2 linked regions of the Ovis aries genome follow. Each later gene encodes a partner of the first gene's protein in a complex. Links are inferred from orthologs where the notes say so. Each region holds a gene or a part of one and is shown in the gene's direction. Other genes may lie near its edges.

Region 1 (3,919 bases):
CATTTTCCACAGAGGTTAAACCATTTTACATTCTCACCAGCAGTGTATGAGAATTCTGGTGGCTTACCGTCTTCATCAACACCTGGGAAACTCAGTCTTTTTTCACTTTAGCTATTCTAGTAAAGTGTGTATCGGTGTCTACTTGCGGGGCTTATTTTGTATTTTCCTAATGACTAAAGACAGTGGAGCATGTTTCATATTCTAATTGACCATCCATATATCTTCTCTGATGATATAACTATTACAATCTTTTGCTCACTTTTTATTTGCCTTGTTATATGGAGTTGTAAGAGCTCTTTATTTATTGTGCATACAAATTCTTTGTCAGATAGATGTTTTGCAAATATTTTGTCCCAGTCTGTGGCTTGCCTTTTAATTTTTTTAACTTTGTTGTTTTTTAAAAATATATAATTTTATTTATTTATTCTTGGCTATGCTGGGTCTCGGTTGTTTTACGGTGGCTTTTCTCTGATTGCCACGAACGGAGGCTGCCCTCCAGTTGTCAGTTGCGGTGCACAGGCTTTTCACTGCAGTGACCTCTCTTGTAGCAGAACACGGGCTCTAGGGAATGCAGGCTTCATTAGTGTGGCACGTGGGTTCAATAGTTGCAGCTGCCAGGCTGTAGATCATAATGAGCTCAGCAGTTGCGGCTGGAGGGCCTAGTTGCTCCTGGGCAGTTGGGATCTTCCCAGACCAGGGATCAAACTTATGTCTTCAACATTGGCAGGTGGATTCTTTACCTCTGAGCCACCAGGGAAGGCCCAATAATATTGTTTTGAAGAACAAAGAATTTTCACTTTGATGACATCAAATTTGTTTTTCGCTTTTCACTCTATTACATTCACCTATTTTTCTGGTTTTATAATTCTACCTCTTACATTTAAATCTTTTGAGTTAATCTGTCTGTATCGTCAGATTTTTGTTTGTTTTGGCATAGTGAAAGTCGGTAAGTCACGTCTGACTTTTTGAGATCCCATGGACTGAAGCCTGCCAGGCTCCCCTGTCCATGGACTTCTGGAATGCGTTGCCATTTCCTTCTCCAGGGGATCTTCGCGACCCAGGGATCGAACTCAGGTCTCCTGCATTGCAGGCAGATTCTTGACCGTATGGAGCCACCAAGAGGCTCACTCTTGAGGGTGGTACACATGCACAAATACTTGCCACGAATGCCTTATCCCTATTTGGAATTATGCCCCCAATCTTTTCCCTATCTTCAGGGCTGTACTTTTTTTTTTTTCCTGACTGTGGCTTCTGAATGCGAAGCAACTCCGGGAAGAACCGATGGAGCGTGCAACTGCCAACACTACAAGTCGCAAAGAGGCCTCCTTGAAGCGAATAGCCACGCGCTCGTCGTGGTCCAAGCAGTTCGCGGCTTCCTAGGCACCAGCTACACAGGCGGCGGTTGCGACCCGGACTCCGCCCCGCGCTCGAGCCGGGGGTGGGGGATGGGGGCCGGAAGTAATTTACGTCTCCCGGTTGCTAAGAGACGGAGCTTCCACAAACCAGACTCAGGTTCTCAGGCTTCTTTTCCTTCCTTTCTCCGCTTCAGCGTCTCCGAATTCCGTCACCATGGCGGACCCAGAAAATGAAGTCTTGCGAAGCACCTTTCCATCTTACATGGCGGAGGGCGAGCGGCTGTATCTATGCGGGGAGTTCGCTAAAGCCGCCCATAGCTTCAGCAATGTGAGTCGTGCTCTGAAACGTTCAGCTACCCATCACTGAGGTCTTGATGATGCCTGGACCACCCTGTTGTTTCCACTATTCCATTGTTACTGATTGATGCACCGCTGTCAAAGATAAACCCCTGTTTAGCCATTTTCTACCATTTCCCATTTGTATTCTACCTGGTTGTTAATTACCAACCTCTGCGCTAACAGTGACCCCGTCTTCTACAGTTTTGCTCAAATGTGTCGTAATTGGTCTCCTTCCTCAGTTTCCCATAACTGGCTAGGAGGTTGGCTAGGGGGCTGCTTGCAGAAGGGAAGTCTCTGGCACACAGCTGCTTATTGAAGGTGGTCGGTCAGTAAATAACATTATAAAACTTTACTGTAGTATAAATTGTCCCAACCCACCCTAAGGCGGTAACAGTTGAGCGCTGTTTTTGGATACCAGACACACTGCTAAGTGGCAAGCTTAGGGGGAGGTGCTGTTATTATGCCATTTTGAAGGTAAGAAAGCTTTTATAGAAGTTGAGTAACATGCCTAAGATCACTGAACTAGCAGGTGGCAGAGGAGGGATTCAAACTCAGGCAGTCAGACTTCAGTGCTGAGGTGCTAACCTTACCATCATACACTACTGTACTGTCTTGCAAATAAGCTATTGGATGTTTTATTATGACTGTTTTTTTTACAACAAATAGCCCACTTGTTACAAATAATGGGGTGGTAGCATAGCTCTCTAACGTGTCCCAAGACTCCTTCTAAAATCAAACTTCTCAGTTGCTACCTAGAGTCTTTAGTCCCTTTGGATCACCAACCGCATCCTAAAACCAGAAATAATGGATGAGATGGACCAGCAATTAAGTTCAGGAGCCCCATCCATTCTCCTTTTTCTAGAAACTGTTTCATCTTGGAGAAGCTCAGGTAGAAAAAAACACCACAAGGGCTTTTAGCTTTGGGTGAGAAGTGGTCTTTTCTAGGAAAGAAAGGCTCTTTCTGGAAAAGTAGGAAGGTCTTAGACGGAGGTGGGTACAGTCTGATGCCTTAGGAAGAACATCACACTGCAGACTATGTAATGATCTCGGACAGGAGAAGGAAGGACATGGGGACAAGGAGAAGCTTTCCATTCCCACTTTGGGTCCAAAATCACAGTTTCCTTTTGCCTGGCATTTTCATCTTAATCCCCTGAAACAATGATTCATTCTCAACAAGCTATATAAAAAGAGAGGGCATGTATAATGGGTAACACAAGTTGCAGATCATCCTAAAATCCATTTTGTTAGCCTTCAGAATGCTTGGTCTTCAAATAGTATTGGTTTTAAAATGTTTATTTATTTGGCAGCGTGGGGTCTTAGTTGCAGCCCATGGGATCTTCATTATGTTGTCCCTTGTGTCATGGGATCTTGTGGCACACGGATTCTCTAATTGCGTCACCCGGGTTCAGTAGTTGTGCTGCATGGGCTTAGCTGCCGTGTGGCATGTTGGATCTTAGTTCCCCGAACAGAGATTGAACCCACAACCCCTACATTGCAAAGCTGATTCTTGCCCCTTGGACCACCAGAGAAGTCCCCTTCAAGTAGTATTTTGAATGTGTTGTACAACCATTTCAGGTTCATGGTTGAATTTGTTAAGCACTAAACACCCTAGGATTCTAAGTGAACTGGAGGAATCCCAGATACTGGGGAAGTTCAGTATATCCACTGGGTAGTATAGTATATTCTCACATCTCAACCAGTAGTTTCCAAGATACCTTGTGAATGATGACTACCCGCAGATTACCTAGTTGACTAAGCAGAGATCAGTGTGGTACTGGTTTTAGTCTAAAAGGATCCAAAGAAGACCTGTTTGCTGGCCCATGGAGTCCCCCTGAAACTCTGGCAGAAGGATTTGGGCTGCTGTGTCCAGTCCAGCTTCTTACCGCTCCCTGCCAGATGCCTGTTAATCTGAGTGGTTCCTTCTTCAGGCTCTTCACCTTCAGAGTGGAGATAAGAACTGCTTGGTTGCCCGCTCCAAGTGCTTCCTCAAGATGGGAGAGCTGGAAAAATCCCTGGAAGATGCTGAGGCTTCACTCCAGGGAGACCCAACTTTCTGCAAGGTGACTGTTGGGGTGGGAGGACTCCTTCTCGCTTTTCTCACTGCCGCTACCTGCAGCAGCCTCTGATGGTTAGAGAGCCAGTAGACTGCCTGGAGTTTACTGTTGTGTTCCTTCATAGATCACTTGCCTCTGCCCCTGTATCCCAACATTTGTTCTCAACCCAGG
Region 2 (3,919 bases), on another chromosome or scaffold:
GCCAGCAGCTTCTCCTATTAACCACTACCACTCTTTCAGCTGCTTGTCTCTACGATGAGCACCCCAACAATCTCTATGGACTAAGTATTTGCCATATCTGACATCTGACAAGTCCCTAAGGTCTCACAGTGAATGTATCCGAATACATCCACCCCTATTCATTCCCTACAATCCTATTAGAAATGCCACACCTGCCCGACAAGACTATGCATAGGAATACCAGTTAGCCATTAACTGGAAAACTCACAATCACTATCATTTCATATTAGTTACTGTTCTCAAGGAATCTGCTTCAGGATAACACAGTGCCTGCCTTCCTCAAGCATCCTTGACTCTGGATTCAAACAGCATCCCAGTCTTCCATTCCATAACAAATGAAAAAAGAAAACAGAATCAGAGACCTGATTTGGAATCGTTACTCATGGTCGGTAGAATTTTTCTGCTTTCCATTTCACAATGATAGTACACACACTATAAAATAATTCATATTAAAAAGAATTACTGCTTCTGAAGTGAAACAAGTGACATGTTGGAGAATATTGTACAACCTTTTCCTTCTGGCTGAACTAACCCTTGTTACTGTCTTAATTCAAACACGGTGTCTTATCTGTGTTAAAAGCAGAAACTTCTCTCAGAGTAAAGATGTAAAAATTAGCCTTTGTTTGCAGTCAAAAAACTTGTCTTTCAAATAAGTAAAAGATTCATTTTGCTGGGATATTCTTCCAGAAAAGCAAATTCAGGTTGTACCCCAGAGCCACTGTCCTTTGTCAGCATGTCTTTATTTGGAAGGTTGACTCTATCCAGCTTAAAAAATTGCTAGGGGGTTTTCCCCATATTCGACTGACAGCCTCCGCGCCTACCTCAAGAATGAGCAGGGAAGGGAAAAAAATAAATAATTATTACAAGTTCCTCTTGCTCTCAGTAACATCATCAAAACCTTGAAGATATCTTGCTGCAGACTCCCTTCTGGCATCAGAGCAAAAGGACTGGCAACCTGAGAGCAAGCCCCTCACCCTCCCTTCCTGCACAGCTGTCGTCCGGATCCACGCCTGCTCATTCCTGCATCCCCCAGGTTCCCAGACCTCCCTGAGGACCTGGCGTCACGCTCACCACCCAAGACATCCCCGCACGGAGCGCAAAACAAAATTCAGACCTTGACTTACGGTGCAGCACAGCAAAGGGGTTGTGAATCCGAGCCAGACACACCTGGATGGTCACTCGCCGATGTCACAGTCGGAAAGCGGTCGGAGGGCGCCTGGCCCGATGCCCAGTGAGAGAGCTCAGACCCAGCAACCAATCAGCGGCCGCCCGAGGGTTGCCATGACCACGCCGCCTGTTAGGACCGCGCCCTCTCCTGCCCAGCAGCCAATCGGCGGCCGCCCAGACGTTGCCCCGGCCACGCCGCGTGTTAGGACAGCATACACACACAGGGGAGACCTGCCTGCAGCCCCAGACCCAGGGCTCGCAACCGTCCTGGCAGCCGCCGCCGGACACCGGCCTCTTCCCGGTTTCCTGAGCTCCCAACATGAACCGCAAGAAGCTGCAGAAGCTGACGGACTCCTTAACTAAAAATTGCAAGCATTGTAAGTAAGAATCAAGGGCTGGGCGGGCAGAGACTCCCGGGTCAGGCCCTATCCTGCGGGTGCTAGAGTCTGGTCTGCAGAGTCCCTCCACGCCTGACCCTAAAGAGAAGTCTGGAAGGGAACACTAGCATCAGCTACTTTGGGTGGACACCCACAGAGCCCAGGATCTTAGGGAGCGTTTCCAGGTGTCGAGGCACCAAATTCTACACTCATGCATGCACGTGCTTGCTTCTCAAACCTTCTCTTAACTTCCCCTTACCTTATAAGAAATGTGATTTAATTACCCTGAAGACGTATGTGGCCCTAGCCTCAGATTTAGGTGGAAAACAAGCACTAAAAACCCACTGGAATCAAGAGAAGTAGCACAACAAAAAGCTCTTCTTAGAGCAAACCAACTGGCAAGGTCCAAGTTCTGGACATTACTAAGCGAACCTTATGGGAAAGTGGTTATCAATGGTTGAACATCCTTAGGAAAGGTGGGTTAAAGCGGTACAGAAACCTGTATCTCAGGGCAAGGAAATGTGCCTGGAAACCAAGGAGCTCAAAAAAGCTAATCACACAATACAGTATCTGTTCCCATCTCTGGGGCCCCACTTTCCTGCAAAGTGAAGGAGACTTGGCAGGTGACAAGATGAACACCTATGAAAGATATTAATGTTAATAACCTCCCTACTCCCATCTCACACATATTCTGAAAAGTGGTCCTAGAATTTCACAGGTAACCTTATAATTGTATTCAGACTCAAAAACAGAACTGTGCTTGGGCAAGGAAGCTATGGATCTGGTATAAATATTTGATGATCCAGCTTATAAGTTATGTGCTTATTACAAAACTACTGGCCTCTTAAAAAGTACAAGAAACCATAATCCCAAGACTATTCCCATGGTGCAAAGAAAGAAGAGCAAACATGTTTTGATGTAGTTTTAAAGATTATGGAATCTAGTGCCTTCTAATCAGAGTTAGTATCTTATATAATGAGAGGTAGGAAAGTCTGTCAGGATGGTGCTGCAAATAAAAGTTATGGTATGTATAAGCATCTTAAACTCTGAAAATGAAAGTTGTCCTATAATCTATTATTATGGTTACTATAATCTGAGAGTTTTGTCCTATTGTTTTTCTTAAAATACTTTCATTTGTTGGAAAAGACCAGATTTTCTTAAAACATCTAGTCACATATTGAATGAACAATGCAATAACTACTATACACGGCAAACACTGAATCTGATTTAGTTCCTTTTCCAGTGTGTTTGCAAATGTATTGCAGACATTCTGTGAATATATTAAAAGATAAGTGAAAACGGGACAAGAAAACCAGTCAACAGTTTTGATTTTTGTCCTTCACATAAAATTTTTAAAGTAAGTCTTAAGAAACTTGATGATTAAATTCTGTAGAAACAGTGAGAATCCCGGGCCAGGCAACTAATCATAGACGTTGTAATAATTTTGAAACTTTACACAGAAGACCTTTCTTCTAAAGTCAGATTTCCTTTTAGTTGCCAGGTGATGTTCCCAGCAGGATGAAGTGAGTAGATTTTGCAGAATCAGAGAAGAAAGTATCTTAAGTGGTGGTCTAGTTAATCCACCACCTGGCAGATCTGATCTGCAGAGCAGACTTACACCAATCTGAAAAGATGAAAAATCCCTTCTCCGATGTCCCTAATTTCATTTAGTATTGTATTCTTGAATTTAAGAAACATTTCAGCAAGAGAATTTTTCCTGTGGAAAAATTACTCAGCTTTGATACTTTGGGTAATAAGCTAATATTCTTTCATTTTTATTCAGCTGAGATGGGAAAATGGCTAATCAACACCCCCTCAGCTAGCATTTCATATACAGGAACAGATCGCATCATCTTTCATGCAAGTCTCTCTTCTCTAACCATTAACATCACTTTTTATTTTTAGAGTTTTTACTGTGGTTAAACACACACAATGTATTACACAAATTGTGTATTACACAAATACACAAAATGTATCACTTTAATTATTTGAAGTGCACAGTTCAGTGGCATTAAGTACATTCGTATTGTTGGGCAGCCATGCCCCTCATCATCTCCAGAACTTTCCCATCTTCCCAAACTGAGTCCCCATGAGACTATTGGTCCCTTCCTTCTCCCCTGGCCCCTGGCACCCACCACCTACTTTTTTGTCTCTGTGAATTTGACTACTCTGGGTACATCATAGAAGTACAATCATAAAATATTTGTTATCTTTGTTGGCTTGTTTCACTCTAGCATGTTGTATTCAAGAGTTATGATATGGTAACATGATTCACAACTTCCCTCCTTTTTGAAGCTGAATCATAGTCCATTGTATGGATGGACACCCATCTACTC

What was found.
Region 2: ODAD4 (region 1) and CLXN share a complex: the UniProt entries of both Homo sapiens proteins name them as parts of the outer dynein arm-docking complex. The link is inferred for Ovis aries from reciprocal best matches to the Homo sapiens genes ODAD4 and CLXN.

Annotation. Positions count from the first base shown.
Region 1 is NC_056064.1:41,838,428-41,842,346, forward strand, and holds the start of ODAD4 (outer dynein arm-docking complex subunit 4), read left to right. Parts: upstream 1-1,481; 5' UTR 1,482-1,569; coding exon 1,570-1,683; intron 1,684-3,622; coding exon 3,623-3,754; intron 3,755-3,919. UniProt on the Homo sapiens protein: Component of the outer dynein arm-docking complex (ODA-DC) that mediates outer dynein arms (ODA) binding onto the doublet microtubule. Plays an essential role for the assembly of ODA-DC and for the docking of ODA in ciliary axoneme.
Region 2 is NC_056062.1:32,840,265-32,844,183, reverse strand, and holds the start of CLXN (calaxin), read left to right. Parts: upstream 1-1,428; 5' UTR 1,429-1,525; coding exon 1,526-1,583; intron 1,584-3,919. UniProt on the Homo sapiens protein: Component of the outer dynein arm-docking complex (ODA-DC) that mediates outer dynein arms (ODA) binding onto the doublet microtubule. Seems to regulate the assembly of both ODAs and their axonemal docking complex onto ciliary microtubules.